Oryza sativa Japonica Group: one gene and its partners. The protein of the gene in region 3 interacts with the protein of the main gene of each other region in a pairwise test. Links are inferred from orthologs where the notes say so. Each region holds a gene or a part of one and is shown on either strand. Other genes may lie near its edges.

Region 1 (5,154 bases), on a different chromosome or scaffold from region 3:
ATTGGAGTCCATACTACAGCTAGCTACATATATGTAGCTCGCTGCTATTCTCTCTCTTTTTTTATCTCTTTAAAATATATTATATTACAGTTGGCTTATAGCATACTATTGTACCTGCTCTAATAAAAAAAAATCTGACCTGACCTCACCCGGTCGTGCGTACAGTAGGGGAGAGAGACATACAGAGGAGGATGCATCGATGGATCGATCGATCGATCGACAGGGCCCCCGTAGGCAATGCATGCATACATGGGGAAGGAGCTACTAGCTGCGATCGATGCTGGAGAGAGCTCACAAAACTAGGCGATGCTGCGGCCTGCGGTTCCCAAAGCGGGCAGCCGAGACGGGCATGCACTGGCCACCGATGCAGGGGGTAAACGAAACGAAGCCCCTGATACTGATCCACGCGGCTGAAAGCAGCATATATTAACGTACGCCCGCGGGCCGCGGCGGAAGAACCGGGCAACCCTCCGCGACGCGTATACGTCCGTGTGCCGGCAGCGAGACGACGTACCCTCCGCAAGCAAGCTAGTTCGTGTGACGCGCCATCCAAATTAACATCCGCTGGTGTGGCAGCGCGCGCGCGTGCCCAATTATACGATCTGAGAATCCTGCTATACATATGACTAGATAATATGATTCGCATATGACTCTATCGCGTCCTCCAATTACTGTGCTTAAGTTTCTTAGAGTATCATAATACGGACCCGACGAGCAACAGCTGTGTCTGTACATGCCCGTATCGTATGTATGCAGACTGAACACTCGGGTTGGATACGTAGCAATCTATTCGGGTTGGGTAGATATGTTAGTATTCACGATCCGTATGTACGTACGCGCCGTGCGTGCGTGTCGCCGGTGCCCGGTGATGGGCTCGGAACGTAGTACGTACGACGAGGGCGCGACGCAACGTCGATCAGGCGAGCGACCGTGAGTCCTTGACCGGACACGCGTGCGTCCGTCCGGCCGGGGAAGGCAAATCACGCGACACTCCAGTAGTACTCCACCCGTATATGGCGCCGTATCTCTCTCCCTCTCTCTCTAGATCTCTCTCCCTCTCTCTCCGTTGGGTTGGTATGCAGTGCGAGTGCGCAAGTGTAACTTTGTTTTGGTAACTTTATTTTGAGCAGTCAAAATCTTATTTGTAGGTTCTTTTTAGAGACATACTGACTTCAGAAATAGGCTCAACTATAAAGGTACGGTGATCATATCAAGCTAATAAAAGATATGTGTCGTAAACTTGAGTCAACGATTATGCAGCATTCTACCAACTTTTGGTGGAGATTCACCAATAGAATTCAGTAATGGTTAGTCTTTATATTGTTTGGTTTTTATTAGTTTGCTTTTACTTTTAGTTTTGTTACTTTGGCTACTTACTCACTGTATGAGTTTGCTTTTATATGAACCTTGTAATAGTAATTGACAACTCTTGAGGGATCAATACACAATTGAGTAAGTGTACATAAGCTTCCAGGCGCTTAATTAGTGTTATAAGACAAATTCCACTTGAAGATAAACGTGCGATCGTCCGATCGACACAATTGCGTTAAGATTAGAACAAGGGTAACTAGGAGTAGTACTAGCTGGATCGAGTACATGAACGGTGAATTAAACTGACAGTAGGAAATTAAAATCTCATCGATCACTACCTGAACGTAGCAAATTAATTAAACCACACACGATCACTAAGTCTTAAGTTTTTAACTGGTTCAAGTTAGCCAGTTGCACTACTAGCTCGATCTGCATGCGATACGTGTGCATGCAGGTGCAGACCGATCGCCATTCTGCTGCTGTTACTACTTGTATCCGAACGGATGCTGGTGCTCGAAGTTGACGGTCTGCGGCGTGCCGGCGCCACCGCTGCCGCTGCTGCCGCTCCCGTCGCCGCCGCTGCCGGGCGCGTACATCCCGCCGTAGTACGCCGCCATCCCGTGCTCGCCGCCGTACATGTCGTACGGCGGCGCGTACTGGCCGTGGTGCGGCGGCATGAGCTGGTGGAACGCGTGGTGGTGCGGAGGAGGATGCGGCGGCGGCGGCACCGCGCCGCCACCGTACATGGCGGCGTGCATCTGCATGTCGTGGTGCGTCACCATGGAGCCCTGCGCGCGGGACTTGAGCATCCCACCGACGTGACCATGGTGGTGGTCGCCGCGCGCGGCGCCGACGCCGACGCCGACGCCGCGGGACTCCCCCTCGAACTCGCGGTAGCGGTGGAGGTAGACGCCGAGGGGCTCGACGTAGTCGTCGAAGCCGAGGCGGCTCATGGCCCAGAGCACGTCCTCGGCGGTGATGGTCTTGCGCTGCTCGCGCTGGCACCGCTCGTTGGCCTCCCCGGTGATGAAGCTGATGTACTCCGACACGCACTCCTGGATCGTCTCCTTGGCGTCGTCCGAGATCTTGGCGTGCGCCGGGAGCACGCGGCGCATGATGCGGATCACGTTCGCGATCGGCATCAGCCGGTCCTGCTCACGTATAGCCGGCGCGGCCGCCGCCTGCTGCGCGCCACCGTTCCCGTCGGCGGCAGCGCCGTTCGCCGCCGTGCCCGGGTAGCCGGCCTCCATTGGCTGCGTGGGAAAGCTAGGGTTGCCTCCTGTGGGTGGTAGCACTAGCTAGCAGCTAAAGTGTGAAACTGTTGCTGGGCTCGCTTGGTGGTGGTCGATCTTGTGATGCGTGTGGATACGTTAAATAGGGACGCTACGAGGTGTTGACCACAAATGGGAGTAGCTAGCCGTAGAGAGGCATGCGCCGAGGTGGCACGGCGCCTGTTCGTGACAAGTGGCGCCGGCTTCGCTGTGGTCACTGCTCGAATTTTTTAATTTTATTTATTAAAATATTTAAAAATAATTTTCTATTTAAAAAAATTACAAAACTATTAGTCGTCCATCGTCCTCTAGGAGGGCGATTTTGCTAATGTGGCAGACAGCCGTTGGCCCTCCCATAATAATCGGCATCGAGGGAGGAGAAATTTACAGACGGCCCCCTCGTAGCCTTTTGGGAGGGCGATTTTTTACTTTACAGGGGGCCGCCTACGAAAGGCCCCCCTGCACTGTAGAAAATCGTCCTCCCAGAGGGCTAAAGGGGGCCGCCTGCAAAAATACCACCCTCTCCCCTATAGTAGAAAATAGCCCTCTTAGGCGGCGGCAAGGGAGATGCCTGCAAAAATTCTAGGTAGCCCTCCCAACCCTTTTGTAGGTGGCCCCCTAGAGCCAAAAATCGCCCTCTGGGAGGGTGGCAAGGGGGCCGCCTGTAAAATTTGAGCGTCCTCGATGGCCCGCCGTTATGGTAGAGCCAACGGCCATCTACTACTTCGGAAAAAACGTCTTCTGGAAGGGCAAGGGCGATGGGCGACTAGTTTTGTAAAATTTTCAAATTAAAAATTATTTCTGTAAATATTTTAATAAATAAAATTAAAAATAAAAAAATTCGTCACTGCTCCATCGGTGTGGATGAGCTGTCACATGCGAAGAAACGGATGGAACGAAAGATTGGGTGATTTGGTTTAGAGCAAGTTTAATCCAAATCCCTCCATAAAAAAAACTAAAACGTGTTTATTTTGTTAACAAAATCAAGAAAAAAAAACTAACTCATCTATAACAGAGACAAAAAAAAATTATACGTGTGCTTGTAACTAACGAATATTAAGATGGTTGCTCGGGTTCCGGTTAATGATTTATTCTAATATGGCAAAACGAGAAATACAATCTCTTTATTTAAGTCTTACATATATGGAGGTACAAATATGATCATCTCATTTGAAAACCCCGAAAATAAAATATGCTTAAGACTTTTCGATAAATGGAGTATAATTATTGTGTAATTACTCTAACTTATATACAAGAGCCTCTTTGGTGCGGTAGCAATGCGTTGGTAGCCATGCGTGCGTGTTAGTATTTTTTTTTCGTTGTGCCTGCATGAATGGAGCACGTCTACGATCCAAAACTCAAACATACTTGTTCCATAATTTCTGATGACAAAAACCAAAAAATTTCTTTGATTTTGGTCAAAGTCAAACTACTTTAAGTTTGATCAAGTTTATAGAAAAAAATAGTAATATTTTTAAACCAAAATAAATTTATTATGAAAATATATTTAATTATTAATTTAATAAAACTAATTTGATAGTGTAAACATTACTATATTTTTCTATAAACTTTATTAAACTTGAGCAGTTTAACTTTAATAAAAGTTAAAACATCTTATAACCTGAAACGGATGGAGTACTATCATTTGTAAATTAATGTACTCTTGTACAATACTTTAACAGGGCGGATCCATAATTCAGAGTCACCGAGGTCAAGACTTACTTGGATTAATATCGTGTTTGGGAGGGAATCAACGCACGCAGCGAAAATGAATAGACGTGCTGCGTTCGGCCTATGCGACTTCAACAAATTCCTTCTACCCCGGAGAATGGGGGCCCAGTCGCACTTGTGGCACTCCCTTCGGGACGACCCTGTCTAATCCCCTACTCCTAGTACACTTTCTAGTTCAAATTTGAATTACAAGAGTACACTTATTTTAGAACGGATTTAGTAGATAATTTTAACATGGTCACATGGGCTAACTTATATGGTTAAATCAATTTATGGGCTAAGCAAATGGATGGGCTAACTCTGCCGGAACATGGTGGCGTCAAAAGGCAAATCATATACTAATGTAATTCATTGAAGAACATAATGTCTACGTAGGTTAAATCAAGATTCATTGATGCCATGTGACAATAGCCTAACATGTTGGCTCCACGCCTCCACTGATGTTTGTATGTATTTATGTCCTCCGCATATCTAGAAAAATAAAGAGTGAATTATATAGGCGGTCGCTAAACTTGTGCATTTGTGTCATCTAAACTTCCAAAATACATTTTTAAGTCCTTGAACTTGTCTTGGGTAGCATATAGGTCTAAACCGGTTCTAAATTGTCCCATATGCTGACGTGGCATGACACGGTGACAACTACATGTTAGTGGGATCCACATGTCAGTTATGTATAACAAATAAAATTTAAAACCATATTTTCTCCTCTTAGGTAGAGAGAAAAAAAAGGTAAACTTAAATTTATATATATATATATTTAATTTTATTTTTTCTATGTAACTAACATGTGGGTCTGACTAACACATAGGCACCATCGTGGCATGCCATTTTAGCGTATGGA
Region 2 (5,048 bases), on a different chromosome or scaffold from region 3:
CTTTGTTTGCAAGAAATTGTTCAAGTATATATGTATATCACTTCTCTTAATTTTCTCCCTGGATCAACTCAAGCATGCTTGCTTGTAGTTGTAGAAAGTCTCGGATTTTTCCTTTGCTTTGTACTTCTTCTACCTCTAAATACAAAGAATTTTAATTATAATTACAAATATGCACATGTCCAGATTCAAAAAAAAGGTGGGCAAGCGAAAATTGCTCTTGCAAGAGCAACATCAAGATATAGGTAGGTGGTGGCAGTCAGGTAAAGGTAGGGGTGAAAACATTATGAAAATTTCCCGACCGTACCGATACCTTTCCTGTAAATAATACAATAATAATATTTTTATCGACTATTACAGTTTCTAAAATTTAGTTTTTCTAACTTCTATCAATGTTGCGTTGAAATCAACACTAAATAGTAAAATTCATAAATACATATATTTCTTGACCGTTTCGGACTTCTCGAAAAAAAATAATATTGTTTCCGACCGTTTTCGTCCATAGGTAGAAGCCCTTGCTCAGATCTGACTCAAAACAAGCCCCAGATGCTGCCAGTACAAGCAAGCAAGCACTATTACATACAGGTACTGTACCTGTCATCCAATTAGACCGGGGAGATCTTTCCCTGGCCAATGGAATCCAGCCTCACTTGACCCTGCCCCCAAAAGCCCAGTGGAAGAAACTTCCACAGTACACATATCACACACACTAGTGCTCACTCAATTCAGGCTTCATCCATCCTTATCCTCCCTGCCTTTTTGCCTGGCCCTTTCCTGCTGCCTACTTGTCTGTGACTGATGAAAGCTAAGTGCAACTAACTACTTACTACTCTATACTTACTTGCTGATAAGCTGATTCATGCCATGCTATGACAGGGAGGATATACAGCAACAAGAAAAGCAAAGAAAACATACTGCATGGTGACACCTAGCTTGAGAATTATATATATAAGTGCTTAATTAAGCAGCATTAAACTTTTATGTTAGCACTGCATAAAGTATATGTAGAGGGTCAGGTGGTGACTGATCACAGATCAGCAATTTGGATGTCATGTCATTGCTTGCGCATTAAGGATGTGCATGCAGGTAGCCTCTAGCCTCTCTGGATATTTTATTTTATGCTCTCACTAGTCACTAATACTGTATATTAGCAGTAGAAGATAGTACTAGGTAGTAAAATTTATTTATTCATTTTCCAAAGGTTATCTGTGCCGACACCTGAGATCACACAGCCGACACTCTGAATTCCAGAGGAATCCAAAACAGCATATATATAGCACCAATCAAGCATTCTACTAATATCAATTATAACCAAGCAAAAAAACAAAATTGGGAGAAATAATGATGGAGAAAAAAAAAGCATCCATCGTCTGTTTGGTCACCACAGAACATCATGGATACCTACTCATCAGTACCATGCCAAAATAAACTGCACCATCAAGAAAAGTCACCCAAATTAACTAATTAAGCTTGTTTAATCATCTTAGCAGCCCAAACAAATGAACCATGGGATCATTATTAGGAGAATTTAAGAAGAAGTCAATGGAAGCGAATTAGTAGAGAATTTAGCCATATAATTGACTCATTTTAGCACATTGAGAAAAGGAAAGATAAAAGAGAGAGAAAGAAAGGTAAAAAAAAAGAGTGAAAAAACAGAGATTAAGATTAATTAACCCGACATGTCCTCTGATTAATTAATTACCAAAACACCAACCAAGAAAGCAAGCTCATAGCCTGTCTTGCCGGCCGTATCCCGACGACGGGGAGGGCCCGCCGCCGCCGCCGCCGCCATGGCCATACGCACCTTTCCCTCCCATCACCATCTGGTGGTGGTGGTGGTGGGGCGGCGGCGGCTGCGCGTACCCAGCTGACGACGCCGGCGGCGAGCCGTACATAGGCTGTCCCATCATCATGATCATGCCGCCGCCGCCGCCGTACATGCCGTATCCGCCATTGTTCCGGGAAGCATCCTGGTGGTGGTGCGAGCCGGAGCCGGAGCCGGAGCCGCCGGAGGAGGCGGCGCCACCGCCGCCGCTGCCGGCGGCGCCGATGGCCTTCTCGCCCTCGAGCTCGCGGAACTTGTGGAGGTAGAGCTTGAGCGGGTCGATGTAGTCCTCGAAGCCGAGCGTGGTCATCGCCCAGAGGAGGTCGTCGCCGTTGATGGTCTTGCGCTTCTCCCGCTGGCACTTGTCGGAGGCCTCGCCGGTGATGAAGGAGATGAACTCCGAGACGCACTCCTGCACCGTCTCCTTGGCGTCCTTGCTGATCTTGGCGTTCGCCGGGAGCGCCCTCTTCATGATCCTGCTCACGTTCGCGATCGGCAGGAACCTGTCCTGCTCCCTCGCCGACGCGTACTCCCCCGCGTTGCTCGGCCCCCCTGACTCGTTGTCCGAATCCGGCATCGCAACCTCGATCTCCTCGATCGAAGCAGTCGAAGCGAAGCGAGGAGGAAGACGAAGAGGAGAGGAGGGCGCGGGGGATGCAGTGGGATGAATCGTGGGGATAAGAACGCATCGGGGAGAGCGACGTGGCAGAAGCGAGGCCGTTTGTTTTTGTCGATAAGCGGTGTGGGCCGGGGGGGGGGGGGGGGGGGGGGGCGGCGCGGGCGATCCGTGCCACGCTGGCGACGTCGCGGCCGTCCGTTAGCCACGTTGGATGGCCTACGTGGTGGGGCGGGGGTGCTGACGTGGCCTGGGTTTATATAGGTAAATTAAGGTCATGGAGCCGTCTTGGCCCGGTTTTGTTTTGGTGTGAGGAAGGAGATGGTTGTCGTGTTTTGGTGCCTGCACTGACACACCTTTCCAGTCACATCTCAATCAAAATTAAGGAAGGGAATTTATATTGGTTTAATGTGATTATTCTCCATGGCATTTGTTTCTTTTTTTTTCTTGTCAGAAAAAAAATCTTATATGAGATGACCTTATGTTAGTTAGTACTCCTACCGTGTTCAACATTTAACCATCGTTTTATTTTAAAAAAATTAAAAAATCATGTATAAAAATACTAATCATAAAGAAATTTCAAATAAAATAAACAGTCAAACGTTAAATATAGAAATCCATAACCACACTTAAAATGGGACGAAGGGGATAATGTATTATAGTTTTCAATGAACATTTTGCTAAGGCAATAATAGTGTACATTTGCTATTTACTCCTAATCAAAAAATGGTAAACGTTCCATATTGTTTTCTTAATTTAATTATAGATGAAAATTCAAAAGACTTTTGGACGATTTCATTCTTTTTCTCCGGTTCTTCTAAGTTTATCAACTTTTAGATAACTACCATTCTCAAACTACGATTTCTTCACAAGCTTTCCGCGTCATCATTGTTTTAGATTTCTTGAAGTTACTTTAGGTCTCTGGCATATAATATTTGATTCATCTCTACAAACAATTATACATGATACGTCCAATAATAACGTGACCTAAGTCCCTCCTAGACAATTTCAGATGTTGAATAAATACATTATGTCCCAAAAAAACCATGTTTAGTCATCACTTATATATTTAATAGAAGTATGGAATTCTTATATTAAATCTGATCATCGATAATTTTTTAAAATATATATGTTAAAAGCAATGGATTAAGATCCTCTGCAGTCGACTGCACCGCGCTTTTATTATTGACATGCGGTGCAGTCGACTGCAGAGCATCCTGATCCGTAAACAGCCACATCGGTAGATATAACATCACTGGGTCTAGATAGGAGTAAAAAATTGTGATGGGTGACACTAAGTTAAGCACATGGACAGCGCAATCAGCCAACAAGGTTCACTATCTTCAGATATTGGCGAATTCAGCATGTCTCCATCCGAGCCCTTCACACGTCAGCCGGGTCGTCTTAGGCCACTAATTAAGCAAACCTTAGATCCAAAAATAATAACCTTGGCCTTTCGCCACTAACTACCAACCACTCTGAAAAGAAGCCTTCTCGAGTGATGCGAAAGCAGAAATCACGTTGCCAAAGCACAAGGTCAATTAGGCTGTCTCCAATGGGCAGCTCTTAGCTAGCTCATAGAGGTTTTTAAGCGATGAACAGGATGCGCTAGCTCTTCTTCAAGCGCTAACTCGCACGCTCACCAAGGCGGTGCCCTCTCACAGGCATGCTCGCCCAGGCAGTGGCCGGCACTGTGCCGAGCGCGTATGAGCTAGCAGCCGGCTCATACCGCTGGTGAAGGCCTTGGCTCGCATAAGTACTACTGACAAGTGGCATCGAGTCAAGTTCCCAAGTGCCCTCTCTTTTGTAATGCCTTTTTTTTTTAAGTAGTATCTAGTTTTATTTTTTTGAGAAAATTTTTCTTATCTAGTTGTAGAAAAAAATTAAGTAATATATACTCTCTGATCTTTTTTAAACTCCTCTTTTAAGGTGCTTGCTCCACTAGACCTACATGACATGGCATTTATACCTACAACATTGTGCAACTTCATCAGAATTTTTTAGATAATGGACTTCATCAGACTTGAACTCTGTCTGGTTGTTTTCTTAGATAAGGAAGGTGCCAGATCCTCAATAGAGTTTTTTGTTTTCTTTGCATATGAAAAACATGGATGCATAAATTGCTGAAATTTGTGGCTTTACATTAACTGAATATGTCATGAAGCAAAAGGTGACATTATTGCAGTGATGCTGATGCCCATGATCTACCTAGTTAATGAGAAGAAAAGGGATTAAGAGATGCCTGCCTTGTGTATAGGGGTTACACTTAACAATGGCCTGTCCTTGATCGATACATATAGGAGCTGATTGGGATGTGAAACTGACACTGTTCTATTCGTTAATTGTCGCCATCTTTGCTCTTAATCTTCGAGTTCAAGATCTCTGACGGTGTTTCTTTCTCTGTAGATTACAGTGCCATTTCGAAGCTCATGCACATGTTAATTGTTGTTATTAAGCTACAGCTAGCTTGATCTTATTCCGATCATACAGATAACGAGTGGTCAAGATGCGATGCTCCTGTCTGTGCAAGAAGAACTTGTACTGCACCAATTTGCAGTTGATCTGTCAGTTCTTCAGATCTTGGGAACCATTCATGCTTAGCCACATTTG
Region 3 (6,267 bases):
GGAAGGGGATGGATGGAGATGGAGATGGGTCGCAAACTCGCAACGGAAAGCTGCGTGCATTGGTGTCTCCGGTGGCTGCGTGCCTTCCTGCCTGCCTGCGTGTCACTGACATGTGGGGGCCACGAGTCGGTCGCATTGACGTGGTGTGTTCCAGTAGGATAGCGACACGTCAGCGCACACGTTGCAACGCGCCATGTTTCGTTGACAATTCAAATCTGACCTGGTATGTACTCCTATGTTGTTGTAGTATGTTGTTGGTCAAGCCAGGGATTACAAGTGGTCATATAGAAAAAAATAAAACGTGGATGTTAATTATATGTGGTTGTTCCTTCTCTATAATAGATACTCCCTCCGTTTCATAATATAAATCATTCTAGTATTGCCCATATTCATATAGATGTTAATGATATATATATATATGTCTGGATTCAATAACATCTACTTCCTCCGTTTCATATTATACTAGTAAGACTTTTTAGCATATGTCTAGATTTATTGACATATATATATATGTGCCTAGATTCATTAACATCTATATGAATATGGACAATGCTAGAAAGTCTTATAATATGAAACGGAGGGAGTATATGAATATGGGCAATGTTAAAATGACTTACATTATGAAACGGAGGAATCATATTGTATTGTTTTGGTGTAAGTATGCAATTGGTTATACGGAGTATATGGAAAAACTAAAGTAACACTTACAATCTACTCCTGTATTTTCTTACTAGCTTAACAACTTAACTACTCCCTACATTTTTTATTTATATGACATTGTTTAGGCCCTATTTATTTCAGCTTAGAATTATTATAATCTGAATTATTAGCAATAATCTGAAACAATCATGTAGATCATTATAATAATCTATAAGCTAGATTAGTATAATATGATAATCTCCTCTAAACGTGCTTCTTTCAAATTAGTAGGTGGCTAAAGACCCACTAATCTTAAAATTTGTATGCAAATTACCCACCACTTCCATCGAACCCAATAGATTGAGTACATCCGCTTCCTCTCTCCACAGTGCAGGCGAATCCGGCGCCTCCCCCAGCCGCGCATGCATCCGCTTCCTCTCTCCCTAGTCGCGCGCGAACCCTTCCCCAAGCCGTATCGTCATCGCCGCCATTTCATCCTTCTCCCACTCCACAATAGCTTAGGGTATTAGAGACATCAGCCTTTCGAAACCAATAATATATGTCTCTAATAATCCAAAGAAACAAACAGCTAATAACTTATTTTATTATAACTTATTATAATCCAGCTTAATAATCTGGATTGCAATAATGTTTAGTTATTAAAAAAAAGGGTAGTACGCACTGGAAAAATTTGAGACTCAAGTGAAGTTGTTGAAAGAAGATCGAACGTTAGAAAAAGAATTATGTCGTGATACAGTGATTTGTTCTTTAATGAGAAAAGGTTAGAATCTTTAATACCTGCAATGCACGTTCTTATCTTTATCGTGGAGACGTAAATAATTACTACTACAATACATTTTAATTGAAACAGAATAAAACAAGCTCGATGATACAAATCAATAAAATAGTAACCTAATGATATGACATGCGATTTTATTGACAAATTTATTATCACCACTCGTAAGAGTGGTAAATAGTTAATTATTCCAATGAGAGTTGGGTTCTTCTTTGTATGGCAGGGAGAAAGAAAAAAGATAAATGAGTAATTTTACACTCAAGACATGACTAATGGGTTAGGGAAATAATTTCCTAGCTAAAAATACTTATATTTTTAAGACGGAGATAGTACCTCATTTCATCTCAGTTTTTCATTCATTTACATTTCTCAATCAGGCTTCTCATGATCCATTATCCACACATACTGCGGTGACGTGGCTTCCGTAGATTTAAAAAATGACACACGAGCAATAACCCCAATATTTGGGAAAAGCCTTCTCTTCAATGATAAAAAGATGGAAATGATCCAGGAGGATGACATTTGCAAATACGTGAACCGGATGAGTCAAAAACCCAACAGAGACTGGAATCAGTTGAGTTTCAGCATCAGCGCCCCCAAACCAAATAATTTTGAACTCTCCGGACTCCGGCCGCCGCCTTCCAGAGGAACCTCGCGGCTGCCGGTGCCGGTGCCGGAGAAGACATGGCCGGGAAGAAGAAGGCCCTAACAAATCCCGCCTCTCCCTCCGCCTCCGCCTCCGCTTCCACCCCTAAGAAATCCACCGCCACCTCCAAGGACCGCTCCACGCCGAAACCCCGCAAAAACCCCAACCCCAAGGAGGAGGCACCACCGCCGCCGCCCGCCAACAACAAGCGCCTCAACCCCCAAGGGGGATCCAACCGTAAGAAGAAGGCCGATGCGGGGACGCCCTCCAAGAAGCCGAAGCGCCAGCCGCCGGAGCCCAAACCTCGGAAGCACAAGGGGGCCAAGAGCGAGAAGCCGCACCGGGTTTCCGGCGAAGGGGAGAAGCCCACGCCCACGAAGAAGAAGAAGAAGAAGGAGAGCAGCAAGGAGCCCAAGCGCGAGAAGCAGCAAGCGTCCGCGCCTATGTCGACTCCCTCGAAGAAGAACAAGGAAGCCAAACGCGACACAGGAGGAGCGGGGAAGCCCACGCCCACCAAGAGGAAGCTCGGCGACGTGGATCCCCCACAGGAGCGACCGTCCGGTGAAGGCCAGGCAAGCTCTCCCACGCCCGCCAAGAAGCGGAAGGACAAGGCGGCGGCGGCGGAGGCGGTTGCCGACCACGGCGCCGGCAGCTTCCCGATGGCTCGGGTGCGGCAGATAATGCGGGCCGAGGACGCCACCATCCGCCCCTCCAATGAGGCTGTCTTCCTCATCAACAAGGCCACCGTATGGTTCTTTCCTTCCTTCCCACATTCTTTCACTTAACTCGCATTTGGTTAATGAAACTTAGTTTATGCAATGATTTGTGATGGCAATTAGCAATCGAGGATTGGAGCTTCTCCATCCTAATGTGATGATTTGGGTTGGACTGGAATCTAGTTAACCTAATGAGATTTAGGTCGGCGTTGCTGTGATCGCCCACAAGGTGTTTGATGAATTGTCTGATATGATCACAGATCACGAATGGTGTTTTCTACCTCCAAATGGTAGATGTTACAGGTTGTCTCAGAAGTCCAAAGCTTGATTTCTCTGCTTCTGCTGCCATCAAACTTTTGGCAGGAGGGTTTATGCACGATTGTTTTATGTTTGTATTTGTTGGTAACTCGCTAAAATGTTGCTGTTCTCTGATGCATTAGGCATATGTTACTGGTTTATGGCATACTGGCAATGAGAATATTATAGAGGGCATATTAAGATAGAATCTGAAGAATATATTTTCATGATTTACCTAGTTATTCTGTCAGATTACTGTGATATTCATTACGGACCAGTGTTTCATTATTTTTTCCATTCCTCGTCCAAAGCTGATTTGGTTAATGTTATATCGCTCACTTGAACCTGTAAATCTGTAACTGCAGGAGATATTCTTGAAGAGGTTTGCAGACGATGCTTATCGAAATGCTTTGAAGGATCGGAAGAAGTCAATTGTGTATGATAACCTTTGTAAGTTGCACATTCATTCCCATTCACTTCAAAACTTTCTTTGTTGCTATGTTGAAAATGCACTTTGTATAGAAAAGCTAAGGGATCTGCATTTATTAAGATTGGAAAAAAATGTTTGAAACATTCAAACAGTACATAGAAAAATGAGAAATCTCAGATAGGTGAAAGAGGGTTTCCCTATTCTACTAATGTACCAGCACGTCATCATCAAGTTTCAAAACAACACAATTTGTGGAAACTGTATGCTGTCTCATTAGAATTTTTTTTAGTGAAATATAAACTACACATGTCCTGAGGTTGTTACTTTTAGTGTTCATATTTTCATTTTCAATCTCTCAAGAGATGAAGAACCTTCCAAGATTGCAATGATAGTCTGGTAGTTATCCCATCTATAGGTAGATGATATTTCCATTTCTGCAGACAGGTTTGTCAAGCCAGGAGAGAAAGAGCAGTTAGTATATAGCTATAGTAGGACCATTGTGTGTAAGAGGGCAACTGCATTTAGTTGCGATTCAGCTTATCAATGCCCCAATATCACTGGCTGGATAGATTCCATTGACAAGAGCCAAAAGATAAATACTCTCTCAAAGATTGGGTACAGATGTTGAGTCCTACAAGTTGCAACATCAAATGGTTACATACATAGGATATTTTGTTATGGTCTTGTCAATATTCTTGCCTGTCCCCCCTTTTTCTTGATAAAATGTGTCCAACTATCAATCTAATGATCATAACTTTACTCATAGCACACACATTTCTGTGATGTTGGCATATATATATATATATATATATATATATATATATATATATATATATATATATATATATATATATATATATATATATATATATATATATATATATATATATATATATATATATATATATATATATATATATATATATATATATATATATATATATATATATATAAAACTAATGCATTTGTGCAGTGATGAAACATTTTTATTTCTATACAAGCCAGTGTAACATGTACTGATATTTTTTAGACTGTCCAACAAAGATAGTTGAAGTCCACTCATGTTCTGAAACTGGACAGAGGGGAATCAATCCCATCGAGAGGCTCTCTTCCTCCTTTTTTCTGAATCTGTGAGAGAGGCAAATGAGAAGTTCAGAGAGACCTCAACTCTTCTGCATTTCTCTGTCAGTAGTGATAATAACTTATTAAGTTGATCAAATTAGGGATTTCACTTTCAGTACAGATGTTGCATTACTTGCATCTCAAATATCATTTTTTGAGCCATATTTTTTGACATTGGCCTTTGATATATGCCCCAGCTTCTTTTTTTTTTCTCTCAATGATGCAGACTTTCAGAGGTCATAGGATAAATTCTTTATAACCAGTGACCTACAAAATAACCTCAGGAATTCATATACTTAAACGTCTATGCTTTGCCTACTTGCACCTTTTTTTTTTTTTTGGGGGGGGGGTGTGCAAATGTTCCAACTTCCTGACAGAGTTATCGTGTAAAATTGACTCAGGAAAAACAATCATAAAACATGTTTCTTATGATCTGTGATGGCAAGATCAGCATCCAACATGTGAATAGCTTTAACATCTTTCATCTCAACTCATAGACATACACTTTTTGTGGATGGGCTCATCTCTGAATTGCAATTAAAGTTCATTGATCCTGTCTTCCGTGAGGTTGAAGATATAGTTAATGTTCTATTTCTTTTGTCCTTTTATTTTTCTTTATCTCACAGCACATCTGCCTTCCTTTTCAGCAACAGCAGTGTGCAACCAGAAAAGATACAAGTTTCTCTCAGGTCAATATTTGTCTTTTTTACAAACCCATGGAAGCCTATTTTAATCAGCAAAGGCTCTTCATATGCCTTAGCCTTTTAGCAATATCATTATTTACAAATCGTTTCTGTGGTCTTTGCTCAGATTTTGTTCCACAGAAAGTTACAGCTGAAGATGCTTTGAAGGCTCCAGTTAGCAGCCAAGTGAACCAACCACAATAAGTTGCTAGTGCTCCGCGAGGTATGCTGCTATGTTTTTACTACTTCCTAGCTTTTTTAAGGAGCGAATTACTGGAAATTAGTTTTCCATGTTGTGAAAGTTCCAGCATTCAGCTGCTCCATCCTGTAGGGAGGTCATCCTTTCACGAGTTATCTCCTGGGAGGGTTCTGCAATTGTAAACGCCAGCTGTGCAGCTCATGTTGCCCTCAGGACTGGCATCTTGCGACATGTTCAATATGATTCTGATCAGAATCGGAGGCTTAAAAGAAGATTATAAGGGGAAACCTGAGTAATCTACATATGAAAGAAGCATGATGAAACTTTTTGTCATGAGAATCACTTGAAATATGCTTGCTTAGAGCCTCAAATCAGGATCACCTTTTTGGCTGTGTAAGCTGTGGGTTGTGTGAGGTGGATGTAGCTTAGGCTAAATGTTACTGTGTATTTTTTTTTAGATAATACGTTACTAGTAGTATACATTTGTGAGTTCTGACTTGTTCATGTACTAGTTCATTACATATATTTTCGCAGGTGCATGCTTTACCAATTACTTGCTGGTGCAAATATGAATGCCTAGCACCATGAGATGCTTGTCTTGCACTGGAGTTTATCTCCTATGGAATCCACGAGTAGGCTGTTATGGAGGATTTGTATTTGTACCTTGTTTCAAAATAAATAAAACTAGTATGAGATATGATATATTTTAGAACTATGAATCTGGGTATGAGTATTATAA

The links.
Region 1: the proteins of nuclear pore complex-interacting protein family member B13 (region 3) and nuclear transcription factor Y subunit B-3 interact in binary tests that used the Arabidopsis thaliana proteins (3 or more experiments, as listed by UniProt). The link is inferred for Oryza sativa Japonica Group from reciprocal best matches to the Arabidopsis thaliana genes NF-YC10 and NF-YB6.
Region 2: the proteins of nuclear pore complex-interacting protein family member B13 (region 3) and nuclear transcription factor Y subunit B-10 interact in binary tests that used the Arabidopsis thaliana proteins (3 or more experiments, as listed by UniProt). The link is inferred for Oryza sativa Japonica Group from reciprocal best matches to the Arabidopsis thaliana genes NF-YC10 and NF-YB3.

Annotation. Positions count from the first base shown.
Region 1 is NC_089036.1:30,654,544-30,659,697, forward strand, and holds nuclear transcription factor Y subunit B-3, read right to left. Parts: upstream 2,658-5,154; 5' UTR 2,562-2,657; coding exon 1,797-2,561; 3' UTR 1,483-1,796; downstream 1-1,482. UniProt on the Arabidopsis thaliana protein: Component of the NF-Y/HAP transcription factor complex. The NF-Y complex stimulates the transcription of various genes by recognizing and binding to a CCAAT motif in promoters. Plays a role in the regulation of the embryogenesis.
Region 2 is NC_089041.1:25,144,462-25,149,509, forward strand, and holds nuclear transcription factor Y subunit B-10, read right to left. Parts: upstream 2,475-5,048; 5' UTR 2,400-2,474; coding exon 1,725-2,399; 3' UTR 1,483-1,724; downstream 1-1,482. UniProt on the Arabidopsis thaliana protein: Component of the NF-Y/HAP transcription factor complex. The NF-Y complex stimulates the transcription of various genes by recognizing and binding to a CCAAT motif in promoters.
Region 3 is NC_089037.1:36,866,857-36,873,123, forward strand, and holds nuclear pore complex-interacting protein family member B13, read left to right. Parts: upstream 1-2,009; 5' UTR 2,010-2,119; coding exon 2,120-2,827; intron 2,828-3,459; coding exon 3,460-3,544; intron 3,545-5,293; coding exon 5,294-5,335; intron 5,336-5,456; coding exon 5,457-5,533; 3' UTR 5,534-5,552; intron 5,553-5,637; exon of another isoform or gene 5,638-5,660; 3' UTR 5,661-6,092; downstream 6,093-6,267.